Macaca mulatta: one gene and its partners. The protein of the gene in region 2 purifies or fractionates together with the protein of the main gene of each other region. This does not show direct contact. Links are inferred from orthologs where the notes say so. Each region holds a gene or a part of one and is shown on either strand. Other genes may lie near its edges.

Region 1 (9,753 bases), on a different chromosome or scaffold from region 2:
TCTCTACAAAACGTTTTTTAAAATTAGCCAGGTGCAAAATTAATCCCAGCTACTCGGTGGCTGAGGCAGGAGAATCACTGAACCCAGGAGGCGGAGGCTGCAGTGAGCCAAGATGGTGCCATTGTACTCCAGCGTGGGTGACAGAGCGAGACTCAATCTCAAAAAAAAAAAATCAGCCAGGTGTACTGCACATGCCTGCAGTCCCAGTTACTCTGGGTGCCACTGCACTCCAGGCTGGACGACAGAGTGAGACCTTGTCACAAAAAATAAAGTAAAATCTAGCTCTGCAGGAGCCCTCTCTAAGAAGGAGGAGGAGGAAGTTGCTGCCCCCATTTTGCTCCAGGAACATCAGGACACTTTCTGGGCTCATGGTCCTGGCTCCAGAGGCCTCAGCGTCTGCCCCTCTTGACTGTCTGTGAATTAGGACAGCACCCGGGAGTGCATCCACAACCCACCCAGCCACCAAGAGAGAGGTGGCGTGCACGCCCCCACACGTGGCCCGACCCCCGACCCCACACCCTGGCCCCGCCCACTTGTGCTGCAAGTCCAGCTGCTCCTGCAGCTCCTGCTTCTCCGACTCCAGGCGCTTCACCCGCATCTCCTGGTCCATCACGCTCCACTGCAGTTCCGAGATCCTCCCCTTGAGTGCGCTGATGGTCTAAAAGCAGAGGGGGCCAGAGAGCCACTCAGTGAGTAGAGCCCATGCATGGAAGGAGCACATGGAGGTGAGAAGAGCGGACAGGCACCACCCACATGCTACAACCAAGCAGGAGGCAGAGGGGCAGAGGAATAGGGGGCAGAGGGGCATCAGGCAGAGGGACAGAGGGTAGGGGGACAGACGGCAAGCGGGCGAGGGGGACAAGGGGAGCAGAGGAGCAGAGGGCCAGGGGGCAGAGTCACCTCCTTCTGGAGGATGCGGGTCCAGGCAGGCACTCACACGCAAGGCCCACCCTCCTCCTGGCGCTCCAGAGCAGCACAGCCCAGAGCCTGCAACGAGCCATGCAGGAGCTGACTGAGGAGACCCAGGCCCCAGCCAGGGCCCCTGGAAAGGAGGCTTGGTAAGGCGGCTTCAGAAGCAAAAGTCCTCACCAGCCAAGATGGGCCTGGACTCTCAGGCCTGGCACCTGGCAGTCTCTGTGCCAGTGCTGCATGCTCCCAAAGTCCCACCAGGCATCCACATACCCACCACACCATCATTTTGGTCTTCCCTCCAATAGTGGCTCCTGTCGTCCCTCCCCAGCCACCCCAATGCTACTATGCCGGCTGTTTGCTAATGACATCGCCCTCGAACAACAGCAAGGCACTGGCCAACCAACAGGACAAAGACGGAGGCTGTGCAGGGGGCTAGGCGGTAGCTGTTGGGGAGGCCATGCGCTTGGAAGGGGAGCGCATAGCACAGGCAGGAGCACCCCTGGGGAGGCAAAGCCAACAGCCTCTCTGGCAGCCTCCAGGACACCAGGTCTGCCTGACAGCACGGAACCCGCGCGTGACAGAACCGCCACGCTTCATCCTGACCACCCTCACCAGGCAACCTTCTGAGGACCCTAACCCTCTGGAAAAGCTCAGAAAACCCTAGGTGTCCTCAGAGAAAGAGCACGTGGGTCGAGCCAATGTGAGAAGCCGGACAGACCCTGAGAAGCATCACTGTAAGTTAACACAGGGAAATACATGGGCGTGATGTCAGCTCTGGGGACCATGCCCCCAGGGCAGGACAATGGCAAACTCACACAGCAAACAACCTGGGTGGGCCTGGCTGGGTGGCACCCTCCGCAAACAAGGAGGCCACAGCACTCATTTCCCTGTTCCTGAGAACCCGTGGCCAGCTCAGCCCGCTGAACCCTATCACTGCCGTCCACCCCACGACGCTCTGGGAAGGCGCGCATGGGGGCGGTGTGCTCCCAGAATGCCCACAACGGGTACAGTTTACTTCACCCAATGGTGAAGCATTAACCTGGGAGTCAAAAAAGAAGGTATTAAAAACATACTAACAATAAACACATCCTCCCAGAGGTCTTCTGAACTCAACTAATACACACCGGATGCCGGGACCAGGCTGGATGCAGGGCCGAGCCCACCTGCCCGCAGGGGCACCTGTGTTGTAGGGGACGCCGGACAGTTGGCAAGGAAGAGGCACATAAGACAATTCCAGAGTAAGGAGGTTGACAATCAGGGCCCTGTGACAGGAGAAGGCAGCCAAGGCCTAGTGAGCAGGAGGGTTTGCCCTGAGGAGCTGCCACCCTAGCTTAGACGTGACAGGCCAAAGCAGCAGCGCCTGCAGCAGCGCGATTTCCCCTCACGGAGCCCCACCCCACTGGGCACCACCCTGCGGCTCCTGCAGTCTCCCACTCCTCTGCCCCTCGTGGAGTGCTGGGCACGACTCACCCTCCCCCATGGAACCGCAGGTGCCCACAGGCAGCGGGGACAGGGTCTGACCCACCTCCAGCACAGCCCAGCACACAGGAACTGGAACCCAGAGCACGGGCAAGGCAAGAGCAGCTTCTCGGAGGCCAATCACACCTCCTTTCCTGCCAACGTGCCCTCCAGAAGCAGATGGGGGAACAACCTCAACACGCTTCCCCAGCACCACCCACAGAAAGGACGCAGGGCCAGTTTCTGGACCCCTCCAGGACGCTTGCTGCACGCCCACCCCACCCCCACCCCTATGCCAGCAGATTTGCATGTCTCCTCTTGGCACCAGCAATCTTGATCTTCACAGAAAAAGGACAGGAGAGGTCAGAAGATTCCAATTTCCACCAGCGCCCACATCCAGGCTGTTTCTAAAATGCAAGCAACCTTCACCAGGACTGTGGTTCACACAGGCTCCGGTTCAGAGGCAATTCTCCCGACACCATCAGATGCCTGTAGACCTTGCGGATAGTCAAAGAAATGCAAATCCATTCGTGCCTACTTAAGCCTCCTGACGAAAGAACAACTATTTCCAGAAAAGACCACCATCCACGACAGGGAAGGCTGCAGGGAAACTGGAGCCCTCAGCCGGGGCTCTGAGAACAACCGCTACAGAGACCGCCATCGCTGGGGACCTTATAGCCCAGGCCTAGGGGTCTGTCCAAAGTCAACAGAAGCGAAGGCTGCATAGATACACAAGTGAACACAAACACACTAAAAGTCCATAAATGACAAAAAACGGATTCATCAGCCTTCAAAATTCATAATTACAAATGCAAAAAAACTGCTTAACTTTTTTTTTTTTTTTTTTTCAGACAGAGTCTCACTGTGTTGCCCAGGCTGGAGTGGAATGGCGTGACCTTAGCTCACTGCAACCTCCACCTCCCCGGTGCAAGCGATTCTCCTGCCTCAGCCTCCCGAGTGGCTGGGACTACAGGCGCCCGCCACCACACCCAGCTAATTTTTGTATTTTTAGTAGAGATGGAGTTTCACCATGTTGGCCAGGCTGGTCTCCAACTCCCGACCTCAGGTGATCCACCCACCTTGGCCTCCCAAGTGCTGGGATTACAAACATGAGCCACCACGCCCAGCCCAAGTGCTCAACTTTTTAATTGAGAACTATAGAATGGAAAATTAATACTTCTACTGATTACAACTATGCAAAAAACGCAGCTGTCCGTGTGGGAAGCACAATTAATAACACAGGCGCGGCGCTGCAGTGGTGAACAAGAGCATGCATTCCCTCTCCTCAGGAAAACAGTGCCAGGAGGGCAGTCCCCGCGGAGCGGAGGCCCCGCTCACCTCGCCGGCCTGGGCCAGGCTGTCCTCTTTCTCACGAAGCCTCTTGCTGGCAGCGTCCAGGTTCTGCTGACACTGCCTGTTGCGCTCCAGCTGCTCCTGCATCTTCTCCTCCGCCCCAGCCTCCCGCTCCTGAAGCTGCCGGATGCGCGTCAGGAGCTCCTGGTTGCGATCAACCTCGCGCTGTCAAGAGAGCAAGAGTCAGATGCCATGTGCCACCCACGGGAGGGTCAGCGGGGAGCCCTCACCCCCACGCCTCTCTCAGAACAGGCCGAGGCGCAAAAAAGAGGTGAGCAGGACGCATCAGCCAAGTCAGCGGCAGAACCAGGATGGAACCTGGGACCCAGCTCCAGTGCCGGCGCCCCCGCTGAGGCGCCATGACGGTGAGCACTGTGCAAAGTCAGGACTCCCAGGACGGGCACTTGGCACAGATCACACACACATTCATCACACCGTCTGCTCAGCAGTTGCCTCTGCAGGGAGAGGGAGCACGGGAAATCTACAATTCAGCATTGACCTTGGGGAGAAGCTGAGCTTTCACAGCACCAGCAAATCCTGTCTAACTTCACTCTGGCCGGCACTGAAATGAGCTGGCACTCCCCCAGCGAGCAGCCGATGGGGCAGAGACAGGTGGCGTGAGCAGGAGGCTGCGGACAGAAGCAGTTTACACTGGGCTCAAATCTGCCACACATGCACACCATCTCACACAAACCTCCAGAGCCACCCCCCCGACTGGCCTTGGGGAGGCTGCGTGGCTCTCACTGGTTGGGATGGGACATAACCAAGAAGCACGCTCAGACCTCCTGACTCTAATGACCCGCAGGCCCTGCAAGTTCACTGCCAGGTACAAGAGTCCCAGGAGGTGAAGGCGGTGAGTCCTGATGGAGCCCAGCACTCTGGGACCCTCTCGCCCTGCCTTCCTCGGGAAGCTCCAAGCACTCCCCCTGAGCCCAGGGAGGAGTATGAGCTTGTGCTGTCCTCATCTGGGGTACTCCAGCCCAAAGCCCAGGAGAGGTGTTACAGAGGTGGCTGCCTTCTGAGAGAGGCTGACCCGCACCTCGGAGGGACTCTAGCCCTTGTGAGCTGCAAGGGCTGCCTCACAACAACCAAGAGACTCTTCTGTGATGCAGAACAGGAGCTGGGGTTGGCATGGGGCTCCGCTCAGCACCATCACAGCCAGATGGGGCACCAGGCCCGGGACTGCCAGTCCTAGTGCAGACAGGGCAGCCAGCAGGTCGCCGGACTTCAGACACTTAGGTCTCAACCCCTAATAGGTATTTCCAGGTGGAACTCCAAGGAACAATTGGAAGACTACTGGTTCCAACTGTTCCTGGGATCCTGTGCAGCTGTGTCTGTGGGCAAGGAAGGAAAGTCCTGCTAGAAGGTGGCTGGAGCTCAGCAAGGAGCCCCAAGTGTAAGCTCACTCACCTGCATTCTTGGATTTCCCCAAGAAAGGGCCCCCGGAGACCCTACAATGACTCCTCCCTCAATACAACATTTGTGAGTACCCATAAAATGCCATAAGCTGCGCCACACAATGGAGATCCTAGGCGGAGTCAGGTGGGCCCTGCCCTCAGGGACTCTCGGCCCCAGAGGAACTCCAACAGCTGCACACTCCGTTCCTCCTGCCTGAGAGCCACAGCCATGCCATGAGCACGCTGCCTCCAAACTAATGACCTGGTGCCACCTCTCTACCCCTAACAAGGGAACCTCAATAGTTAGGGAGATTCCTGTGGCCTCTCCCTCCCCTTCCCACCAATTCCTCCAGGACTGTCCCTCCTAGGACCCACCCAGGCCGTGAGCAAAAGCCCCACCTCTCAGGGAAAACAGCTCTCAAAGCAGCAATGGAGCCAAGCCTGAGGCTGTGGCCCCCACCCCATGGCACCTCAGGCTCACTGAGCCCACACAACGCACCACAGCCAGGATCTGCAGGCCAGGGGCAAGGAATCCAACCAGCATCACACCCCGGAAGACGTGAGCTATTTTTCTAGGGCCTAGGAGAGTGTGTGAACAAACCGCACGATGCCAGGGAGGGGCTAGACATCTACCCGCCGAAAGAGGGCACACAGGCCAAGGAGACTTCCCGCCCAATACTCTGCCTGAACCTTGGCAGCATTTCCACAACTGATCAGCACTGACCGAAACGCTGGCAAAGCGCTATTCATCAGAGCAGAGGGAATTCGCACACTCAGTGGAAACCTAATTCCCTCCCCAAGGACAGGGTGTTTTCCCTGCTGCCCTGGGTGAGCCAGGAGCAACACACAGCCACCAGTGAGGCCGGCACCCTTCGCTAGGGCCCTCCAACCCAAAGGCCCAGCATGGACCGGGACCCTGTTCCACCCCGTGACCTCCTAAGCCTGTCCCTCCTACACCACTCGGCATTTCTGTCAGACCTGCATTCCAATTCTTCCAGAGGGAAGAGGAAACCAGGAGACCCAACAAAGGAATCTGTGCCGGCACTGCAGCCTCACTGAACAGACACAGCAAGTGTTCCCATTTCATGCCATCCTCCTCTAGGACAGCAAGCATAACCAATACCTGCCCCACAGCATGCGTGGCCTCAGAAGGAATGTCCTGGCAACCGTGACACAGGGCATGTCAGGCTTCCAGTCAGCTGGGTTCTGATTTCCTACGGCCTGGCAGGTACCATGCACAGCCCCCTTGCTCCCAGGGGCTGCGATCTGAATTCTTATAACCTGGCAGGTACCGTGCACAGCCCTCTTGCTCCCAGGTACTGGGATCTGATTTCTTACGACCTGGCAGGTACGGTGCACAGTCCCCTTGCTTCAGTGGCTGGCTGGGCTGACCCTCGCCCCACGTGAACCCACCTCGTAGTTCCTGGCACTGGTGCTCGCCGCTCTCTCCAGCTCCACTCGAGCCCTCTTGTGACTCAGTTCCATCTGCATCTTCTCCCGCTCCACCTGGATGAGGTGAGACTTCGAACGGATCTGCTCTGCTCTTTCCTCCAGCTGAGAGGGACATACCCAAAGAAAAACAGAATGCTCAGTGACTGCATCAAACAAGGTTGAGTGACTCAGTGCAGCGGACACATCTCTGAGCACCCATTCCCGCAGGTCCTGTGATAATTCTTGATGTGCCCCAGCTACCGGGCCCCAGGCAGGGGAACCGGGGAGTGGCAGGCAGTGGGAAGGTGAAAAAGCTTAGGAAGAGGAAGACGTCTTTTGAGATGACATTAAGCATATTAGTGAACGCAATGGCCTCGAATGCCACCCATTTATTTACCAGCCAATGGCTCTGTGGGTCAGAAGTCCAGACGTAGGTGGCTGCGTTCTCTGAACAGGGTCTCCCAGGCTAAAAATCAATGCAGTCGACCAGGTCGTGTTCTCAGGTAGAGCTCAGCATCCTCTCACAAGCTCACAGGGATGGAGAATGAGGTCTCCTTCCCGACCAGCTGCCAGCCCAGTACGGCCATCCACTCCTAGGAGCTGCCCACATCCCTTGCCACATGGACCTCTCCCTCTCCAAAATCAACCACGTCCAATCTCCCTTGTAAAATCCCGCTCCTGCCATGTCTCTGACTGCTCCGCCTCAGATGTCTGGACTGAGACTTAAAGGGCTCTGGTGAGCAGATCAAGCCCACCCAGGGAGTGGATCAAGTCCACCCAGGTAATCTCCTTATCTCAAGGTCAACAGATCTGAGACCTTAATTACATTTGCACAATCCCACAATGATACCTAGTCAGTATCGACTTAAACCTGGGAGGCAGTAGGAAGGTGAGTGTGCACTAGAGCCTGGAATCTGGGGGCCCTCTCAGAAGCCTGCCTACCACACAGGCCTAGTGATTACAGGTGAGCTGAGCCTCACAGAGCCCCAGAAGACTTGCCAAACAGTTCCAGAGTCGGCCTTTGGGTACGACCTGCTCAGCTGGAGGAAAAGGCAGTCACCAACTCTTCATATAGCCCAGAGCCTTGCAGTGCAGCATCTCTCAGCACTTAACAAATGCAGAGTCTCAGGCTACACCCCAGATCTATTCAATCAGAATCTTCTCTTTAGGTTGGGCGCAGTGGCTCACGCCTGTAATCCCAGTACTTCAGGAGGCCAAGTCGGGTGGATCACTTGAGGCCGGGAGTTCAAGATCAGTCTGGCTAACATGGGGAAACCCCGTCTCTACTAAAAATACAAAAATTAGCCAGCGTAGTGGTGCACACCTGTAATCCCAGCTACTCAGGAGGCTGAGGCAGGAGAAATGCTTGAACCCAGGAGGTGGAGGTTGCAGTGAGCCAAGATCACACCACTGCACTCCAGCCTGGGTGATAGGGCAGGAGTTCGTCTTGGAAAAAAAAAAATCTAGGCCAGGCACGGCGGCTCATGCCTGTAATCCCAGTAGTTCGGGGGCCAAAGTGGGTACATCACTTGAGGTGAGGCGTTCGAGACTAGCCTGGCCAACATGGTGAAACCCTGTCTCTAGTCAAAACTACAAAAATTAGCCGGGCATGGTGGTACGCACCTGTAATCTCAGCTACTCCGGAGGCTGAGGTGGGAGAATCACTTGAACCCAGGAGACGGAGGCTGCAGTGAGCCAACATTATACCACTGCACTCCAGCCTGGATGACAGAGTAAGACCCTGTCTCCAAAAGAAAAAAAGAAACTTCTTTTTAAACACATTCTCAGGGCGTTCACATGCACGTGAAAGTTTGATAAGCACCAGAGTAGAGTGGTGGTTCCCAGTGAGGGCCAGTTTTGCCCCTGGGAACATCTGGCACTGTCTGGAGACACCTGACTGTCACAGAAGGGTGGTCATATGTGTGTGCTGCTGGCTGGCATCCAGGGGGTAGAGGCCAGGGATGTTGTTCAACAGCCCACAATGCACAAGAAAGTCCTGAGAAAAAAAGAATTACCCAACCCAAATGCCAAGCATGCCAAGGCTAGGAAAGCCCGGGACGGGGGAGGGAAGTTTCTCTGTCCTCCCACCTGTGTTCTCTGGTGGCCCAAGCCCACGCTTCCTTTCTTACTATGTTACCGTGTCTCGATTCCCAGCTGCCGCTGTTTGGGCATTCCTAAGACTGCCCTTCAAACTCAGCAGCCTTCCTGGTCTCACTTCTGTGTCTGCAGTCAAACCTGAGCCTCTCGAGAAGGGTGGGCACCCCACCTGCAGGGGGCACGACCGGCAGGGACCAGGAGTCCCAGACACACCTGATCCGTGTGCCACCTCTGCCTGGAGCTAACTACAACTGAAAGACAGCAACTGAAAGCTTGCCCTTACATTAAATCAACACAGATGTGTGATAAACCAGACAGCACACATTCCCCGGCCTGCCATGGACTCCAGGCCCTCTCTGCCATGCCGGGGGCTCAGCAGGAGAGAAACAACCACAACAAAGTCCAGAAACGGGATGTGACAGGGGCCAGGGACCAAGGCTGGGCTCACCGACATCACTCTGCTCGCCACCTCGCTCTGACTACCGCACCCCATCACAGATCCCCTCACCGAAAGGCCCTTAACAGTGAGCACTGGGGGCCTCTCAGGTCCAAGACAGACTAGAATCCCAAAGCTTTGACAGATAGGCCAAGAGGTCCCAGACATTTGCAACAAGGAAATTACAGCATTTCAGACCAGAGTTGCCAACTCTGTCATCCAGGCTGGAGGGCAGTGGCGTGATCTCAGCTCACTGCAACCTCTGCCTCCTGGGTTCAAGCGATTCTCCTGCCTCAGCCTCCCGAGTAGGTGAGATGACAGGTGTACGCACCCGCCTAATTTTTGTATTTTTAGTAGAGATGGGGTTTCACCAAGTTGGTCAGGCTGGTCTCAAATTCCTGACCTCAAGTGAACCACCCACCTCAGGCTCCCAAAGTGCTGGGATTCTAGGCGTGAGCCGCCGCAACCAGTTCAGAGTTGGCAACTTCTAATTTTGCCAGTGATAAAAACAACAACCATCTATTACCTTCATAATTTCATAAAAGAGCATTTACATATACATATCACATATATACATACACACACATATATATGTGACCTAATCTCAGAATACAAAACTGTCCTCATGAAGAAACGGCAGTAAGCAAGCTAGCAGCCAGCATTCTTTTT
Region 2 (10,285 bases):
TGAACCAAGATCATGCCACTGCACTCCAACCTGGGTGACAGAACGAGACTTTGTCTCAAAAAAAAAAAGAAAAGAAAAAGAAAGAAATTAAGCAACTCTTTTCTCTAGACTTCAGTTGTCCTTGGAAAACTAGAAGCAGCAACAATGACTTACCTCTGGTGATCCCTTCGGGGGTTCAGACTTGGTAGAGTCCATGGCTTCCTCCCAGGGCCACAAGGAGGGAGGCAGGTCTACTGATCATGCTGTTCACATAGCATAATTTTCCAAAGCAGTGACAGCAGAAAGACCAAAACCTGCAAAAGGGCCTAGCTCACCCTAGGCCAATTATGTGGGTCTTCAGTGGTTGAAAGCACATGTGATTTTTCTTAGTCCTGTGCCACTGAAGGAAAGGTTATGCTGTAAAAGTCTAGCCAGGGGTACAGGCCTACTAGAGAAACTGTGGTTTAGAGACAGAGACTAGAGAACTCAGTGAGAGATCTCAAGAAAGATGGGAATTGGAAGGAAGAGATAAGACCATTCTCCCAACATTCTCACCATGACCAGCCCTGGGCTCTCTCGATAACCAGAGCCTGCTGCAGTTGTCTGATAACATGTGTCCCTTCATATACATGGATTTTAAAATTTTTATTTATTTTTTTTTGAGACAAGGTCTCCCTCTGTCACTCAGGCTGGAGTGCAGTGGTGTGATCACAGCTCATTGCAGCCTCAACCTCCTCTGCTCAAGCAGATCCTCCCACCTCAACCTCTGGAGTAGCTGGAACTACAGGTGTGAGCCACCACGCCCAGGTAATTTTTGTTTTTATTGTTTGTAGCGATGGGGTTCCCCCATGTTTCCTAGGCTGGTCTTGAACTCCTAGGCTCAAGCAATCCTCTTGTCTTGGCCTCGCAAAGTGCTGGGATTACAGGCATGAGCCCCACACCTGACCCAGTATTTTATTTTATTTATTTATTTAGAGACAGAGTTTCGCTCTTGTTGCCCAGGCTGGAGTGCAGGTGCAATCTTGGCTCTGCAAGATCTGCCTCCCGGGTTCAAGCGATTCTCCTGTCTCAGCCTCCCGAGTAGCTGGGATTACAGGTATGTGCCACCACACCCGGCTAATTTTGTATTTTTAGTAGAGACGGGGGTTTCTCCGTGTTGGTCAGGCTGGACTCGAACTCCTGACCTCAGTTGATCCACCTGCCTCAGCCTCCCAAAGTGCTGGGATTACAGGTGTAAGCCACCGTGCGCCCAGCCCTATTTATTTTTTAAAGGTGGCGAGGAGGAGGAAGAGAGAATGATTGATTGATTGATTTCTTTTTTTCTTTTTGAAGTAGGATCTCCTTCTGTCACCCAGGCTGGAGTGCAATGGCACAATCTTGACTCACTGCAACCTCCATCGCCTGAGAGCAGTTCTTCCACTTCAGCCCCCCAGGTAGCTGGGAATGCAGGGGCGTGCCACAATGCCTGGCTAAGTTTTGTATTTTTTGTGAAGAAGGGGTTTGCCATGTTGCTCAGGCCGGTCTTGAACTCCTGGACTCAAGCAGTTCTCCCATATTGGCCTCCCAAAATGCTGGGATTACAGGCGTGAGCCACCATGCCCAGCCAGACCCAGTATTTTAATCACTGTACTTTTATAGTATGTTTTGACCTCTGGTCCCTACTTCCTGAAACATACCCTTTTCTTGGCCTCCATGACCTGACACTTGTCTTTTTTTTTTTTTTTTATAAAGACCCCATCTCTACTAAAAATACAAAATATTAGCCGGGTGTGGTGGTGGGCACCTGTAATCCCAGCTGCTTGGGAGGCTGAGTCAGGAGAATTGCTTGAACCCCGGGGGCAGAGGTTGCAGTGAGCTAAGATCATGCCATTGCACTCCAGCCTGGGCAACAAGAGCGAAACTCCATCTAAAAACAAACACAACAACAAAAAAACTTTTGGACTCAATCAGTCCCTCCACTGTCAAGCAATTCTCCCATCTCGGCCTCCCAGAATGCTGAGATTATAGTCGTGGAGCTACCATGCCCAGCCAGACCCAGTATTTTAATTATTGTGTTTTTTTTTTTTTTTTGAGGCGGAGCCTCACTCTGTCACCCAGGCTGAAGCACAATGGTGTGACCTCAGCTCACTGCAACTTCCACCTCCCAGGTTCAAGGCATTCTCCTGCCTCAGCCTCCCAAGTAGCTGAGATTATGGGGATGCACCACCACGCCTGGCTAATTTTGTATTTTTAGTAGAGACAGGGTTTCTCCATGTTGGTAAGGCTGGTCTTAAACTCCCAACCTCAGGTGATCCGCCTGCCTCAGCCTCCCAAAGTGCTGGGATTACAGACATGAGCCACTGCGCCCGGCCTCTAATCATTGTACTTTTACAGTATGTTTTGACTTCTGGTCCCTACTTCCTGAAACACACCCTTTTCTTGGCCTCCATGACCTGACACTTGTCTTTTTCTGTAGGGACAAGGTCTCATGTTGCCCAGACCGGTCTCAAACTTCTGGATTCAAGCATTCCCCTTGCCTTGATTTCCCAAAGTGCTTACAGGCATGAGCCACCATGCCTGGCCCCACTTGTCTATTTTGGTTTTGGAGGCGGGGTCTCACTCTGTCACACAGGCTGGAGGGCAGTGGTTCGATCACAGTTCACTGTAGCCTCAACCTCCCAGGCTCAAGCAATCCTTCCACCTCAGCCTCCCAAAGTGCTGGGAGTACGGGCATGAGCCACCTTGCCCGGCGATTTGTCTATTTTTCTTTATCCTTCTGTGGGTACTCCTTAGTCTTCTCCATAGGTTCTGTCTCTGTGGTCATCCCCTAAATGTTAGTGTCTTCAATAACCTAGCCCATTCTCATTCCACACCCTCCCTGGGTGATGTTATCCACTCACATGATAATGGCTCTTAAATACATGTCGCTATTCCAAATGGCATTCCTAAATATTTCTATTCATTGTCCTATGGAGATGTCAAATTCAATCTGTGAAAAGCTGAACTCATCTTTTCTCCTACTCACCTCCCACCCCAATAAACCTGGTCCTCTTTTAGTGTTTCCTCCATTCTTTTTTTTTTTTTTTGAGTCATGGTCTCACTCTGCTGCCCAGGCTGAAGTGCAGTGGCTTAATCATAGCTCACTGTAACTGTCGAACTCCTGGACTCAAGCAATCCTCTGCCTCAGCCTCCTGAATAGCCAGGACTACAGATGTGCACCCACCACACCTGGCTAACTTTTAAAAACTTTTTTTTTTTAATTTTGCAGAAACAGGGTCCCCAATATTGTCCTGGCTGGTATCAAACTCCTGGCACAACTGGCCATACAATTGCTGAAGTCAGAAACCTGCTTGTTTTCTTGTCAGTCTTCTTTTCTTTTCTTTCTTTTGACATGGAGTCTTGCTTTGTCACCCAGGCTGGAGTGCAGTGGCGTGATCTCAGCTCACTGCAACCTCTGCCTCCCGGTTCAAGCGATTCTCCTGCTTCAGCCTCCTGAGTAGCTGGGATTACAGGTGCATGCCACCATGCCCAGCTAATTTTTGTATTTTTAGTAGAGACAGGATTTCACCATGTTGGCCAGGCTGGTCTCAAACTCCTGACCTTGTGATCCACCTGCCTTGGCCTCCCAAAGTGCTGGTATTACAGGTGTGAGCAGCCACGCCCGGCCTCTTGTCAGTCTATTTCTATTCCTCCTCCTCCTTGTAAATCAATCACCAAGTTATGTTCACTGGACCTCCTAAATATATCGAGTTACCCAATTATCTCCACCCCACTGTGACTACCCTAGCAGTTTAGGCTGCTTTCATCAAGTACTCAGGTAATTGCACTACCTCTAACTGGTATCCCTGCCTCCTCTCTTATCCTCTCTGTAATCCAATCTCTACCCTGCAGCCAGGGTAGAGATTATAAGATGTAAATTTAATCATGCCACTCTCCTACTTAAACCTTTCAAAGCTTCCCCATCTGACTACAGGATCAAGTCCAAACTCTCACATGGCTTACACAGTCCTGCCATGATCTGGCTCCTGTTGTTCACTACAGCCTTAACTCTTTATAATATGAACTCTTTTCATTCCTTGAACAGAGTATGCTCTTGTCTCAAGGTCTCCTGGAGCACTGGGCCCTCCTCTTTACCTTGCTGACTTATCCTACAGGTCACAGCTTCACACATTTCTTCTGGGACCACTCCTTCCCAGCCCCTACCCTCTCTGGGTCAGGCACCCTTGTTTTTCACTTCCACACCCCGTGTAAACCCTTCTGTATAATTCATCACATTGTATGGTATCTACAGGCAGTGAACCCCTTGAGTACAGGGTCCGCGCCTGGCTTGTTCTCCGCTGAGTCTCCAGCACCTAGGACAGGGCCTGGCACGAAGTAGGTGCACAGTGAGTAGTGAATGCTGGAGTGAATGGATGCGTGAGGGTTGGTGTCTTTTGGAAAGCAGCGCTCATTGGCTGAGAACGCCTGGGTTCTTGCTGGGCAAGGGTTAGGCGTATATTTGCCAGGGTGTTAAGGAAGGAACGGAGGGATCAAATCCCAACTCCACTTAGCCTCCCCAACACTGCCGTGGCGCCGCGCCTTTTTTCCGGCCCAACTGAACCGGAAGTGGAGGCGCGGGCTTCCCATGATGCCCCGCGGGACCTTTATTCTAACCGCAAGGAGTAAGGGGAGGAGGTCGTGATGGCGGCGCCGGAGGCGGAGGTTCTGTCCCCAGCCTCAGTCCCTGGTAAGGCGTGGGGCCCAGAGTTTGGGAAGCCTTAGGGACCCGTTTCTTCCCTACCTCCGCGCCCTCCATTTATCCCTTGGTCCTCTCCCTAGCCCATCTTCCCTGTCTTCCGGGTGTCCTACAAGGCTCTAGCTGTGACTCCATCGCCGTGGGTCGCACTGGACCCTGCTTGACTACACTTTTGACTCATTTCCCCAGATCAAGTCCCGCTGCTTTCTGAGCGGGGAGCCCTAGTTACTACCTCCGAAATACCCCCACTATCTTTCAGTCAATTAAATCTCCTCAGGCAACAGGGATCAGGAATCTCTCCCTGCCACGGCCCACACTGTAGGCTGCGGAGGGTATGGGCGTATGTCGGAGTGCCTGCTTTCTCAGGGTGGCTGGTTTGGTGGCCACAGGGAATGAGAAGACTGACTTTGGCTTTTAGGTTTTAAATTTTTCTCTCTTGTCCCTCTTTTCATCTACCAGATTTGGAGTGGTATGAGAAGTCAGAAGAAACTCACGCCTCCCAGATAGAACTGCTTGAGACAAGCTCTACCCAGGAACCTCTCAACCCTTCGGAGCCCTTTTGCCCAAGAGACTGCATAGTACCAGTGGTGTTTCCTGGGCCTGTAAGCCAGGAAGGCTGCTGTCAGTTTACTTGTGAACTTCTAAAGCATATCATGTACCAACGCCAGCAACTCCCTCTGCCCTATGAACAGCTTAAGAACTTTTACCGAAAACCTTCTCCCCAGGTAGGCACAGGCTTTGGGAGCAAGTTGGTGGGAAGACTTTGTGGCTCTTAGATGGGAGGCAGGTAGAAAGGGGGTCTAAGAAATCTTCAGAGCCTGAGAGACTAAGCAGCTTCCAGGGCTTCAGTCACTTTCTCCCCATTCTAGTCTTTGGTAGCCTAACCCTTCTGGCTTTTTCTCCTGTTCTTTCTTTCTGAAACTCGTGTTGCATTTGGTCTTAATGAACTGGCTCTTCGCATTTTTTTCTTTTGAGACAGAGTCTCGCTCTGTTGCCCAGGCTGGAGTGCAGTGGTGAGATCTTGGCTCACTGCAATCTCCCCCTCCTGGGTTCAAGGGATTCTCCTGCCTCAGCCTCCTGAGTTGCTAGGATTACAGGCTCCCGCCACCACACCCAGCTAATTTTTGTATTTTATGTTTTGAGACAGAGTCTTGCTCTGTTGCCCAGGCTGGAATGCAATGGCGTGATCTCTGCTCACTGCAACCTCTGCCTCCCAGGTTCAAGCGATTCTTGTGCTTCAGCCTCCCCAGTAGCTAAGAGCACGTGCCACCATGCCCGGTTTATTTTTGTATTTTTGGTACAGATGGAGTTTCACCATGTTGGCCAGGCTAGTCTCGAACTCCTGACCTCAAGTGATCTGCCCGCCTTGGCCTCTCCCAAAATGCTGGGATTACAGGCGTGAAATACTGCGCCCGGCCTGCATGTTTCTTTTTAATAGCATCCTGTTGTTGAATTTCTGTATGAACTTTTTTTTGCTTTGTTGTTTTTTTTTTTTTTGAGATGGAGTCTCACTTTGTCACCCAGGCTGGAGGAGAGTGGCACTATCGCAGATCACTGCAACCTCAGTCTCCCAGGTTCAAGTGATTCTCCTGCCTCAGCCTCCCAAGTAGCTGGGATTACAGGCATGCACCACCACACCTGGCTAATTTTGTTTGTTTGTTTGTTTTTGATAGGGAGTTTCATTCTTGTCACCCAGGCTGGAGTGCAGTGGCGCCATCTCGGCTCACTGCAACCTCTGTCTCCCAGGTTCAGGCGCTTCTCCTGTCTCAGCCTCCTAAGTAGCTGGGATTATAGGCATGCGCCGCCATGTCCAAATAATTTTTGTATTTTTAGTATAGACAGGGTTTCACCATGTTGGCCAGGCTGGTCTCGAACTCCTGACCTCAGGTGATCTGCCTGCCTCAGCCTCCCAAAGTGCTGGGATTACAGGCATGAGCCACCATGCCCAGCCTGTTTGTTTTCTGAGACAGAGTCTCGCTCTGTTGCCCAGGCTGGAGTGCAGTGGAGCGATTTTGGCTCACTGCAACCTCCACCTTCTGGGTTCCAAGCGATTCTCCTGCCTCAGCCTCCCAAGTAGCTGGGATTACAGGTGTGTACCACCACACCCAGTTAAATTTTGTATTTTTAGTGGAGACGGGGTATCGCCATTTTGGCTAAGCTGCTCTCAAACTCTGACCTCAAGTGATCTGCCCATCTTGGCCTCCCAAAGTGCTGGGATTACAGGTGTGAGCCACCACGCCTGGCTTACCCAGCTAATTTTTGTTTTTTTAGTAGAAACGGAGTTTCACCATGTTGGCCAGGCTGGTCCCAAACTCTTGACCTCAGGTGATCCACCTGCCTCAGTCTCCCGAAGTGGTGTTGGGATTACAGGTGTGAGCCACCGCACCAGGCCATGAACTTCTTTTGCCTGAGGATATTATTTAATTTTTGAAGTTTTTCTTTGTTCTTTGCGGCATCTCAGTTTCTTCTAGAATCCATTCTCCATTTGTTTTGTTCTGGTCTTTGACTTTCATGTTGGAGAATTTTATTGTGTCTGGTGAATATTTAAGAACAAATCACTGCAAGCTCTGTGTGCATGCCTGGGCCTTATGAGCTTATAGACTTCACTATAAGGAGATTAGGTGGCAACCTGGTGATCTCTTTGGGGGGATTCCTTAAACATAGTATTGGAAAGTCTTCCCTCTGGATGGGGGAGAAATTTGGCAGATGATCTAAGCATCTTGACACAGATTTTCATTCATTTCCCCTATATTCATTCTTGCCTCTGTGGTGCCTGTATCACCACTTCCTAAACCTTTCTGGGGTTCTGCTGTGTGTATCAGTTTGCATCCCTTGGGAGTCCCTTCTGTCAGCACTTGGTATTCAGCTCTCTTGAACTCTTAATTCTTCACCTTCTTTCTTTTCTTTTTTTTCTTTTTTTTTGAGACAGAGTCTTGCTCTGTCGCCCAGGCTGGAGTACAGTGGCGTAATCTCGGCTTACTGCAAGCTCCGACTCCCGGGTTCATGCTATTCTCCTGCCTCAGCCTCCCAAGTAGGTGGGACTACAGGCACCCGCCACCACGCTCAGCTAATTTTTTTTTTTTTTTTGAGACGGAGTCTCGCACTGTCGCCCAGGCTGGAGTGCAGTGGCGCCATCTCGGCTCACTGTAAGCTCCACCTCCTGGGTTCACGCCATTCTCCTGCCTCAGCCTCCCGAGTAGCTGGGACTAGAGGCGCCCGCCACCACGCCCGGCTAATTTTTTGTATTTTCAGTAGAGACGGGGTTTCACCGTGTTAGCCAGGATGGTCTCGATCTCCTGACTTTGTGATCTGCCTGTCTCGGCCTCCCAAAGTGCTGGGATTACAGGCATGAGCCACCGTGCCCGGCAAGGCTAATTTTGTGTATTTTTAGTAGAGACAGGGTTTCACTGTGTTAGCCAGGATGGTCTTGATCTCCTGACCTCATGATCCACCTGCCTCGGCCTCTCAGTGCTGGGATTGTAGGCATGAGCCACTGCGCTCGGCCAACTCTTCATCCTCTTTCTGTCTTCCAAAACTTTGTGTTTGCATTTGACTAGTGTTGTGTAGTCTCCAGTTCTTTGCCCTTGGGAGTTTTCTTTCTCGGTCTTTCCTCTTCTTTCGTTCATTTGTTTCTTAATTTCTTTTCTCTCATTTTGTAGTATTTCAGGTGGAAGCGCAAATAAGCATTGTTCAGTTTACTATGTTTAAGTGGAAGAACAAGTTCAGAGTCATGTTTATTAGACCAAATAATCCTTATTCCTGTTATCACTCCCTGTATAGCAAAAATTTGTTGTCACTTTGTCATACTACCAAATCTCTATTTTAGTTGTTTATATCTGGATATTCTCCACCTTCAGAACACTGTGTTTGCTGTTCTATATGTGGGAGAATTATGGTTTTGTACAAATAATATATTTTCCTTTTCAGTATAATGCCCTCTGATAAAACACAGTGTTGTGGCTGTGGCGGTTCATTGAGCTAGAAATTCAGTCCTGTAAGTCTATGTACACATCCCAGCAGGGTTCTTTTCAAAGGGCATTAGCTTCCCCCTGCCTTGTTCTTCTCTCCCGCCATTCTTTGTCCTCACAGGCAGAGGAGATGCTGAAGAAGAAACCTCGGGCCACCACTGAGGTGAGCAGCAGGAAATGCCAACAAGCTGTGGCAGAACTGGAGAGTGTCCTCAGCCACCTGGAGGACTTCTTTGCACGGACACTAGTACCACGAGTGCTGATTCTCCTTGGGGGCAATTCCCTAAGCCCCAAGGAGTTCTATGAACTCGATTTGTCTCTGCTGGCCCCCTACAGCGTGGACCAGAGCCTGAGCACAGCAGCTTGTTTGCGCCGTCTCTTCCGAGCCATATTCATGGCTGATGCCTTTAGTGAGCTTCAGGCTCCTCCTCTCATGGGCACCATCATCATGGCACAGGGACACCGCGACTGTGGAGAAGATTGGTTTCAACCCAAGCTCAACTATCGAGTGCCCAGCCGGGGCCATAAACTGACTGTGACCCTGTCATGTGGCAGACCTTCCATCCGAACCACGGCTTGGGAAGACTACATTTGGTTCCAGGCACCAGTGACACTTAAAGGCTTCCGCGAGTGAATGAGTGCTTCTTAATTATAAAAACACAATGGCTGAATTATCTTTCTTCATGTGGCACTGAATTACCCATCTAGTTTGGAGCTAGAGTTTCTTCCTGGTGAGAGACGAAGCAACTCTCCTTCTGGTTGTCTGCCTCCCCTCCTCAGGTTTCCTGATGGGCTGATGGCATGTGGCGGTGACTGTAATCATTGCTGAACAACATCTCTTTGAATCAAAGGTTGATTTTCCCAGAGGGTGCTGGGTCAGGTATTTCTGTTAGGGGTTGTAAAGCAAAGATGGGTCCATAGACAGAAACTCCATGAAGGTGGCCCTTTCTGCTCCTTGCTGTGTCCTTTCAGAATTTTTCCCAGGAACATAATGTGGATGTGACTTATGAATTTAAATATAAAATAAATAGATTCTTATTATATTTTCCTGAAATTCTTTTGACTTAAAATAACTTGTCAGGTTTTAGGCTATTTTGTCTTTCTCCTTGGCCTCTTCTGCTTCAGGGCGTCTCAAAAATTTATTATATTTTTCTTTTTTGAGATGGAGTCTTGCTCTATCGCCCAGGCTGGAGTGCAGTGGCATAATCTTGGCTCACTGCAACTTCCGCCTCCCAGGTTCAAGGAATTCTCCTGCCTTAGCCTTCGAGTAGCTGAGATTGCAGGTGCCCACCACCACACCCAGATAATTTTTGTATTTTTAGCAGAGATGGGGTTTCACCATATTGGCCAGGCTGGTCTCAAACTCCTGACCTCAAGTGATCCACCTGCCTTGGCCTCCCAAAGTGCTGGGATTACAGGTGTGGGCCACTGTGCCCAGCCTTAGGATTTTTTAATAATGATTTTTTCTCTTCTTCAGCCCCAGGCTAATCTAGGAAGTTAAGTGACTTGGCCAAGTGCATATGTACTTTGATAACACAGTTAGGACTAGAGTCCTCATTAGCTATCTTTTAGCCAATGTGCTTTTCTTATCACATACAGATTTTTGTGATGCTTAAATTCTGTA
Region 3 (9,753 bases), on a different chromosome or scaffold from region 2:
ACTTGGCTGTGTTCGTTGTGACGTGCTTCGTGCCAGGAAAATGGGCACGTAGTGGGTGCTCATTCATATGTGAGGGCTGGATGGATGAGTTGTGAGCTCACTGAGCAGCTCAATAAATGGGTAGACCTTGCTCCCTCTGGGTCCAGCACCTGGCACTATAAGAGCATATGCTGAGTGCATCAGTCCAGCTTTGCCGTTTGAAGACTTTGGCAAAGTACAGATCTATTTTGTAGTCATCCTTGAATGATTTTCCATTTGACGAGATGGAGTAGAGTGTTTTCCTTTTCTTGAGAATTACATTATATATTTTAATGGTTGAACTTTTTATCCTTTCAATTCTTCATTTTCTAACTTTGGATCTTTGTTTAGAGACTTACCCAGCATCTACTCTGTCTGCAGTCACTCTCCTGGGTTCTAAAAGGGAAGCCAAAGATAGTTTAGACACCTTCTGCCTTTTAGTGCCAGTCACGTGACAAGGCATCTGACCTAGCTCCAGCATCTGACCCCTGGTGGATGCTTAATACTTGTCGTTGGTATTGTTAGACTTTTTGTTGCTTTTACCAAATTCTTTGCTGATGGAGCGAGTTTTAGAACCTTTGGCACCCTCCCTCCCTCTGGTGGTTCACTTGCCACACCAGGGAAGGTGAGTCTGGGGCGAGGTGGGTTGTTGACTTTGCTGCCAGGTCCTTTGATTTCAGTGTTTTGTGTGTTTCTCTGCAGGCACCGATTCTTTTCTAAGTAGTCTTGTGTTACATTTTCACTTCCCTCTGAGGGGTGTGGTACATACAGAGACTGAGCACAGTGCTTGGAGCTCTTGTAGCCAGTGGGGGAGTGGCTGGCCAAGTTGCTTGATCCTTTTTAAAAATGTCCTCATCTAATTACTCGGGTTCAAGTATTGAGGTTTCTTTTCATGAATTTTACCATTATTAACTAAGGAGATTCCTAAGACATTTTGGATGATTATTTTTAATTCACGTGGACTAGAGAGCAAAAGACTGCTTCATCTAACCATTCTTTTTTAAAATATACATTTTATGAAAGGTAAATGAATATCTTTAAAAGTCAGAATTTAAAATTAGAAGTTATTATTTGGAGTATTTGTGGAAAATGTGGATTCAGATCAGTTGAGACAACTATTTTATTTTACAAAAGGTTTGGTTTTAGAATTCTCAAATAAATAACAGCTACTTCTTTTTTGCGTTTGACCATTTATCCTAATGTGATTTGATGACTTTTTAGGAGCACAGCTCTTTCAGGCACTCAGCTCCCTTGAAAGCAAAACTATTTCTTTCTTTTTTTTTCTTTTTTTTTTTTTTTTGAGACAGAGTCTTGCTCTGTTGCCCAGGCTGGAGTGCAGTGGCGTGATCTTGGCTCACTGCAACCTCTTCCTCCTGGGTTCATGCCATTCTCATGCTCAGCCTCCCGAGTAGCTGGGACTACAGGCGCCTGCCACCATGCCTGGCTAATTTTTTTTGTATTTTTAGTAAAGACAGGGTTTGACCGTGTTAGCCAGGATGGTCTCGATCTCCTGACCTCGTGATCCGCCCACCTCGGCCTCCCAAAGTGCTGGGATTACAGGCGTGAGCCACCGCACCCAGCCACAAAACTATTTTTTTAGCCAAAAGGAAAAATTGAATCTCCCAGTGAGCCTTTCTGTGTGGCAGCAGGACTAGCCTGGAACGAGAGTTCTTTGGAACCTCACAGGGTGGGTGCTTTTTAACTTGGCATTGCCCGTGAATGTGCCCACCTGCTGTCCCTACCCCATGGGTACTCACAGTCCCCTGCCTGGCCTCCAGCATTTGTGTTGTGGCGTCTTCTCTGCGGGTGGCATCTTAAGAACTCTGTTCTGGATGGTAGAGTTTAACTAGAATCTTTTGAAACCATTATTGACAAGTTGGTTAAGTATAAATATTTATAATTTTGTAACTACTAACCTAGCTCAGTGCCTGGCCCCTGGTGAGTGCATAATACCCTCCCTTTAGGTAATGGCATTAGACTTTAAAATGTGTGTTTGGCTCAGCTCTGTTAATAATTAGCCATTTGACTTTGTGCCTGAGAGTTTGGATTGTGGGAATTTTCAGGTTGCACTTCTTGTCAGTTTTCCCTTAATTAAAAGCAAATAATGACCATTTGAACTGAAGAAGAATCAATATGTTAAACTATTTGGAAAGTTCTACAAGAGATAATGGTATGTATATTGAAGATTATACCTCAGGACATTGCTTATTTGCATATTTGTGTGTATTTAGTCTGAATAATGATATTAAGACTTTAAAAATGAACATTGTATTGTTTCATAATGGCGTACGTCTCCTGTGAGCCTTGGGTTAACATAAATTTTCCCCTTCCCTTTTTTTTTTTTTTTTTTTTTAAAGGATTCTATGCTTTTATCCTGACATCTGCAGTCATCGGAGCATCTCTCTTCCAGGGCGTAGAGTTTCATTATGTGTACAGTCATTTTCTTCAGTTTGCACTTGGGGCCACTGTTTTTTGTGTGGTCTTGAGTGTGTATCTCTACATGCGCTCTTTGAAAGCACCCCGGAATGACCTGTCGCCTGCCAGCTCTGGTGAGCAGTGATGAATCGCGTGTTGGATGAATGCGTCCCAGAGCCCTCCAGCAGCCATTTCCAGATTTGAGTAGATTGCTTTTTTTCTAACTTCATTTTTGGGAAATGAAGAGAAGAAAAAATGAAAAGATGAAGAAAAAAGTTAAAGAGATATGAATTTAAAAGAAGAAAATGTTTTTCTTTTTCCTTCATACTTTCTTATTCATTTCTTTTTTTTGCAGTTGCTTGATGACAGTAAGACGTTTAGTAAACTTACAGGCGTTTTGACTTATGACAAATATTATTTCTTTGTCCAAAATAGTAAATACTCTTTAAAAAGCAAAAACAAAACAACAGAGGTTGCTGGCTGGGCGAGGTGGCTCACACCTGTAATCCCAGCACTTTGGGAGGCCAAGGCAGGCAGATCACTTGAGATCAGGAGTTTGAGACCAGCCTGGCCAATATGGTGAAACCGCGTCTCTACTAAAAATACAAAAATCAGCTGGGCGTGGTGGCACATGCCTGTAATGCCAGCTACTCGGGAGGCTTAGGCAGGAGAATCACTTGAGCATGGGAGGCGGACGTTGCAGTGAGCTGAGACTGTGGCACTGCACTCTAGCCTGGGCCACAGAGCGAGGCTTCATCTCAAAACAAAAGACAAAAGAAACGAGAGGTTACAAATTGGTTGATGCTGAGCTAAAGTATTTAAAAAAATGTCGCCTATCTAAAAAAATTGTGAGTGTAAAGTCCTTTGGGGGGCCCCCATGATTTTGGTTGTTTTTTAAGAAACCTGGGGTATCTGGGTCCCCGGCTCCCCAAAGGCTGTAGTAACTGCCCTTTCAGTTGGGCAGGCGTCTCCCCTAGTCTGTGCCGTCCTGTCTACCTCTCATCACCAGAGCTCTGCTCAGGCACTTGCAGGCAGTTGAATTGTGAGCCTGGATAGTGGGCAGCAGTGCAGTTTTAAAGCCTCCTGACTGGGTTTGGAACACTGTTTGGGTAAACACTTTTCCCTTCTCAGGAAATGCTGTCTATGATTTCTTCATTGGCCGTGAATTAAACCCTCGAATTGGTACTTTTGATCTCAAATACTTTTGTGAATTGCGCCCCGGATTGATTGGATGGGTATGTCTTTTTTTTTTTTCTTTCTAAATTTCAATTCAATAGGTCTAATTAATTGCTAGAAAGAAATGTAGACCATTTAAAAATAAGCAGTGGGTGGTATATTTTTAGGGATAATTATGGCTTTCCATAAATCTATCAAAATATTTTCTTGTAAATATTTTCCAGAGGTTTAAGATATGACAAATTAAGTATCTTTTCTTTGCTTTATTATCAGTTTATATTTATATAGGAAAGTGATAGTGTGGATGCATTTTCCTCTTTTTTAAAACCTTATTTTTACCTAGTTTTAGGCTTGGAGTTGCAGATATATAGCAAAGAGTTCCCTTCCACCCTTCACTCTATTTCTCACAACGTTAACCTCGGAGGAAACCAGTGTGTAATGATGAAGAACTGCAGATTAACATAGCGACAGCATTAGTTACCGAGTTTGCAGGCCTCAGTCGAGTTCACCAGTCTTTCCGCTGTTGTCCTTTTTCTGTTCCAGGAACCTCGACAGGACTCTACGATGCATTTGGTTGTTATTTCTTCTGAGTCTTCTCTAGTCTAATAGTTGTTTAGGCTTTCCTTGTCTCTCATGACCTTGATACTTTTTGGAAAGTACTGGTTGGTTATTTTGTAAGAGTGTCCCTCAGTTTGGGTCATTCCAGTGTTCTCTTTGATTGGGGTGAAGTTATGCACTGTGACAGGAACACAGAAATGATAACTGTGTCCTCAGTGCATTGGGTCCAGGGGCCCATGGTGCTGAGATGTCTTATTCCCGGTGGCGGGTAGGTGTTAAGGTGGCATCTGCCAGGTGTCTCAGCTGTGAAGCTCACTCATGCCTTTGTAGTGCTAAGATCCCTGGGGAGGTGCTTTGAGGCTATATACTTTCCCCTTTTATTTCAGGTGGTTATTAACTTGGTGATGCTTTTGGCTGAAATGAAAATACAAGACCGTGCTATTCCATCCTTGGCCATGATTTTGGTTAATAGTTTCCAGCTTCTCTATGTGGTGGACGCTCTCTGGAATGAGGTAATTACTTTTAAGAGCCGAGGCCTTGGAGTCAGATGGCTTTGAGTGGGTGAGTGACCTGTCAGAGCGTCGGCTTCTTGCACACAAAGTGAGGGGAGCACGGCCTGCCTCCAAGGCTGCTTGTGAGGACGATGAGGCCATCCATGCGAAGCTGAGGAGGGAGCGCTGACAGGTGGGAAGTTTCTAGGCATTTGGGAGTGCTTTGGTGTTTATCAGCTGATCTTGTGTTTAAAAGTAATATTCTCAATATAAGATTGGTGGATCTTGGGTTTGTTTTTGTGGGCGGTGGTAATTATGGTATCACATGAAAATGGATGGATTATTACCAAATTAGTATGGTGTTTCTTGGATTGTCAAGAGTCACCTGGTTTTTAAATAATGGGGGAGGTGTTTTATTGTTAGTATTTTAAAATACAAAGACTAGCTCTAATTAGATGAACGTAAAATCAGAAATCAAGATGCATTGAGGAAGCCTGTTGAAATAAGGCTAAGTTTTCATCTCGTGTCTTTTTTCGTACATTGATTAGTCTTTCTGCTAGTTGAAGACTGGTAAATGTTTTGTTTGTTTTCTGTGTCTCAACCAGCATATTCCTTTAAAAAATTTTTTCTTCCTCAGGCTTATTTTACAAGTATTTTATCATATTTACTGTTATCTTTGTAATCATCTCCAAATTCCACGTCTAGTTTTCTTTCCATATTAAAAACAAATCTGGCAGCTGTACATCATAAAGTTCCAAAACAAGTTTTAATGACAGTGTGTTGAGACAGTCTGCTGACATTTTGAGAGAAGACCTTTTCTCTTTGAGCCTGGAACATTAAAAAAAAAAGTGTATTATTTGGCCATCATTACTATATATCTCCCCCACCCCTGCCGGCTGGTCTTTAATTGTGGCCTTCTATGCAAAATTGCAGAGAATATTGAGTCAGAACAACTTCGCAAGTTTGATATTGGTGTTTGATGATCTTCTTGTTATTTAGGAAGATTAGGGCCACTTTGAGGTAAACCTCAATTACAAGTGGTGGGATTAGTGCTATCCGCTAATTACGGGTTCCTGTTGCCCTCCTACCACTTCACAGACCCTGGCTCAGAGCCTGGGAAGCTGTGAAGGTGGTGATAGCACTTCAAATTGACTTTAAAAATTCCAAGTCGATCCAAAATTAAACATGTTTTTGAAATTAAAAAACAACTCTTTTGTAAATGCACTTACTATTACCAGTGTAGCTTTGTTTGCTGTTATAGAATGAATCGCCAAAAGAGCGTATAGGTAACAGTTTGCAAATCAAATGATATTTCACTGTTTTGCTCACCTCAGGCTTCTTTAAAACTTCCTTTCTAGTAGTTTTCCATTGATAAGTGATCATTTCGTCTGGTTTCATCTGTTAATAGCTTTCTGCCATGTTGTGGTCTTCACTTTTCAATTGGCTTAGAAGTTCATATTTTCTATAGATTTAGCCAAACACTGACCTCTGTTAAAAGAAAATTTTTTTGCATTTTAAGGCAAAATTAACATAGCCCAGGGGTAGACAACTAGAGTTAGGAAATTGTTTTCTGTCTGTTCTCAGTATCTCAGCCAGATGATGATAATCTTCTTGAGGAAGTATTGTATTTTATGATTTCTGTAGCATTCTGGCATACCACTGGGCAATTAGCAGATGCTTAATAACTTTTTTGTTAGGTCACTTGATAGAAATTCCTCGTATTCACGAATGTGCTATACCTTAAGAAAATGGAGACTACCAGTTTAAATATGTATGACCCTTCCTCTGAGTCCAGCCTGTGAAAACCTTGGGGCTCAGGAGCTGGTGGGGCTAAGGTCCTCCCCCTGACCTGGCACTGGGTGCTTACCCTTTGCCCTCTCACTGCTACTCACCACACTTGCTTTTATCTGCTCCCTCCGTTTTGTCACCTTTATCCTCTTTTGGACCAGGAATCAGATCACAGGCCTTGAGAGAGAAGAATAAGAAGACACTCTCGGGGACAGAAAGTTAAAACACCATGTATCCTCACTTACATGTGAGAGCTAAAAAAGTTGATGTCATAGAAGTACAAAGTAGAACAGAGGATGTGGGAAGGTGGGAAGGGTAGGGAGAAGGGAAAGATAGGGAGGGAGAGGTTTGCTAAAGGATATAAAATTACCACTTGATAAGAGGAGTAAGTTCTAAGTTCTAGTATTCTGTACTGCTGTAGGATGACTATAGTTAACAGTGATACATAGTTGCAAATAGCTAGAAGGATATTGAATATTCCTAACACAAAGAAATAGTGTGTTTGAGATGATGGATATGCTAATTATCCAGATTGGATTACTATATATTACATGTATGGCAGCATCACTGTGTACCCCATAAATATGTACAATTATTACATGTCAATTTTTTTTAAAGAGAATAAAGAACTCTGGTAACTAAAGAGTATAAGCCTAAGGAGGTAGATTTTGTGGGATTGGTGTTTCTGTTCCATATGACATCTGTTTTTCTGTTCCATGGCCTATTTGCTTTCTTTTCTGGAAAAAATCCTATTTGGAGGTACCACTCTTTTTCTTTAACCTAGAACTTTGATTCTCCAACAGAGCTTATACTGGCTAATTTTTCTTTTTCTTTTCTTTCTTTCTTTCTTTTTTTGTTTTTTTTTTGGAGACAGAGTCTTACTCTGTCGTCCAGGCTGAAGTGCAGTGATGCAATCTCAGCTCACCACAACCTCCGCCTCCTGGGTTCAAGTGATTCTCCTGCCTCAGCCTCCTGAGTAGCTGGGACTACATGCGCCCGCCACCATGCTTGGCTATTTTTTTTTTTTTTTTTTTTTTTGTATTTTTAGTAGAGACAGGGTTTCACTATGTTGGCCAGTTTGGTCTCGAACTCTTGACCTTGTGATCCACCCGCCTCAGCCTCCCAAAGTGCTGGGATTACAGGTGTGAGCCACCGCGCCCGGCCTATACTGGCTAATTTTTCAACATCAGTGGTCTGTAGTGAGGTTCCAGGTAGTTTGGAGATTCCCTCAGGCCAGACCTTCAGAGTGTTGACCTTGGCGGTATGTCTGTATTCTAGAGTCTGGCCTGCCCCTTATCCTGGTCCAGAGGCGAACTGGCTCACGCTAAGCAAATCACCAGGGAGTAATGCACTTTTATTAATTTGCATGAGAAGTGAAGCTGTCAGTTCACCATGTTGCCAGGCAGCTTAATTTCTTCTGTGGAAAATCTACATGAAAAGCCAGATTATGATCAGAAATTAGATTGGTGCATGTGGAACTGAAACAAAAAGAGTTGGTGATCATATTCCTTCAGCAAACATATTTTGAACACTTCTCTCCATGGCGGACACTGTGCTAGTTACTGGGGTCGCAAAGGTAGAAACACACAACCTCTGTCTTTTAGAGGCTTTTAGTATAGTGGAGAGTGACTAGACAAGTACAGTAACCCAATTGCTGTAGCCTACTGGTGGGTGGTGACATCTGAGAAGTGCCCAGGTCTGAGCCCTACTGGTGGGTGGTGACATCTGAGAAGTGCCCAGGTTGGAGGAGGGGTTGCCAGCAGAGGGGAGGGCCTGGGCATGGGAAATGCTTTAGAGATCTGTTATCTCGGGAACATGAGCGAGAGGCTAGCGTGACAGGAGAATGTGATGGCAGAAAGACCTAGCAGGCCAGGGGAACCAAATCTCTCTCCCCTTTAACAAAAAAATGTTGGTTGTGGACCTGCCCATAGCACTTTATACATTTGCCTGTAAACTAGTACTTTATTTGAATACTTTAAACATAGAAGCTCTTTCTCCCTTTCCCCTGTCTGTATCCTTATAGGAAGCGTTGTTGACGACCATGGACATCATCCATGATGGATTTGGATTCATGCTGGCTTTTGGAGATTTGGTGTGGGTTCCGTTTATTTACAGCTTCCAAGCCTTTTACTTAGTTAGTCATCCAAATGAAGTGTCTTGGCCAATGGCATCTCTAATTATTGTTCTGAAACGTGAGTATTAATTTTAGTCTCAGTTTAATTTATTAAATATTATGTACTGAGGCTTTTATGCTCTGATGTCTACATATTTGAAACATGCCATTTTGAATGGTCAGCATTAGCTCAATTCGAAGCCATTTATGATGAGTAATAAAAAGTCTGCATTTTGCAAAGAGAATGGATGGTTCGTACCTGGGTTCTCAGTAGTACTTGAAACAGATTATTTTAAATGAACCACCTTGCTTTTAAATTTAATAAATTTAAGTTGGTTAAATTTGTTTTTAGTAACCTTACGTTTTTTCTCTTGAGTGCCTGCTTTTTCTGGTAGGCATCTTATAGAGAAGATTGATTTTGCCTTCATAGAGCTCGCGTTCTAGCAGGAGAAATAAGACATGAGTGAGCACCGAGAGGGGCTTAGATGACGGGTGTTTAAGGTAGAGACTTCTCTCTGGGGAGCTTTAGTGTGAACTTATTGGAGGATATGGTGTTTGATTTGAGTTTTAGAGGGTAAAATGGGATGGAGAGATCCAAAAGTCAGGCACTGGAACAGCTCAGCAAGGGTGTATGGTGGGGAAGTGTGAGATGAGGTTGGGAAAGACGGAGAAGTCCAGTTTGGCTGCAGCTGCAGTTCACCAGGGTCAGTCATGTATTTTACTTCAGGATGAATTTTCTTTGTCCTTACCCTGTTCATTAAACCCTTAAACACTTGTACTAGAGGTTGGGCAGGGAAAATTAGCAGTGAACTTCAAATATAGATAGTTTTGCTACACTAGTTAGTATCTGTGGTAGAAGAAGAAATTCAAACCATTGGTTAAAATTAAGATTTATTTTCACCAGTGATTTGGTTGTCCATGTCCATTTTATGATTCAAGACAGTATATTTTATAGTTCAGCTAAAAATGGGGGATGTCTTAGTCTGTTTTGTGCTGCTCAAACAGAATAGCTGAGACTGGGTAATTTGTCATGAAATTTATTTGGCTCATGGTTCTGGAGGCCAGAAGTCAGAGAGCATGGTGCTGGAATCTGGCAAGACCCCTTCTGCTGCAGCATCCCGGGGTGGAAGGTGGAAGGACAAGAGAGAGGGAGGGAGGGCAGGAGAGAGTGAGGAAGAGCAAGAGAGGCTGAAC

The links.
Region 1: the proteins of MAD2L1BP (region 2) and MAD1L1 purify together in Homo sapiens (co-immunoprecipitation; 4 studies listed by BioGRID and IntAct, with this or other methods). This does not show direct contact. The link is inferred for Macaca mulatta from reciprocal best matches to the Homo sapiens genes MAD2L1BP and MAD1L1.
Region 3: the proteins of MAD2L1BP (region 2) and LBR purify together in Homo sapiens (co-immunoprecipitation; 3 studies listed by BioGRID and IntAct, counting the BioPlex papers as one, with this or other methods). This does not show direct contact. The link is inferred for Macaca mulatta from reciprocal best matches to the Homo sapiens genes MAD2L1BP and LBR.

The regions. Positions count from the first base shown.
Region 1 is NC_133408.1:36,187,351-36,197,103, forward strand, and holds part of MAD1L1 (mitotic spindle assembly checkpoint protein MAD1), read right to left. Parts: intron 6,675-9,753; coding exon 6,534-6,674; intron 3,889-6,533; coding exon 3,709-3,888; intron 659-3,708; coding exon 534-658; intron 1-533. UniProt on the Homo sapiens protein: Component of the spindle-assembly checkpoint that prevents the onset of anaphase until all chromosomes are properly aligned at the metaphase plate.
Region 2 is NC_133409.1:138,480,384-138,490,668, reverse strand, and holds MAD2L1BP (MAD2L1-binding protein), read left to right. Parts: upstream 1-4,619; 5' UTR 4,620-4,638; coding exon 4,639-4,684; intron 4,685-5,152; coding exon 5,153-5,418; intron 5,419-8,782; coding exon 8,783-9,295; 3' UTR 9,296-9,663; downstream 9,664-10,285. UniProt on the Homo sapiens protein: May function to silence the spindle checkpoint and allow mitosis to proceed through anaphase by binding MAD2L1 after it has become dissociated from the MAD2L1-CDC20 complex.
Region 3 is NC_133406.1:83,139,619-83,149,371, reverse strand, and holds part of LBR (delta(14)-sterol reductase LBR), read left to right. Parts: intron 1-2,375; coding exon 2,376-2,567; intron 2,568-3,564; coding exon 3,565-3,668; intron 3,669-4,553; coding exon 4,554-4,679; intron 4,680-8,469; coding exon 8,470-8,638; intron 8,639-9,753. UniProt on the Homo sapiens protein: Catalyzes the reduction of the C14-unsaturated bond of lanosterol, as part of the metabolic pathway leading to cholesterol biosynthesis.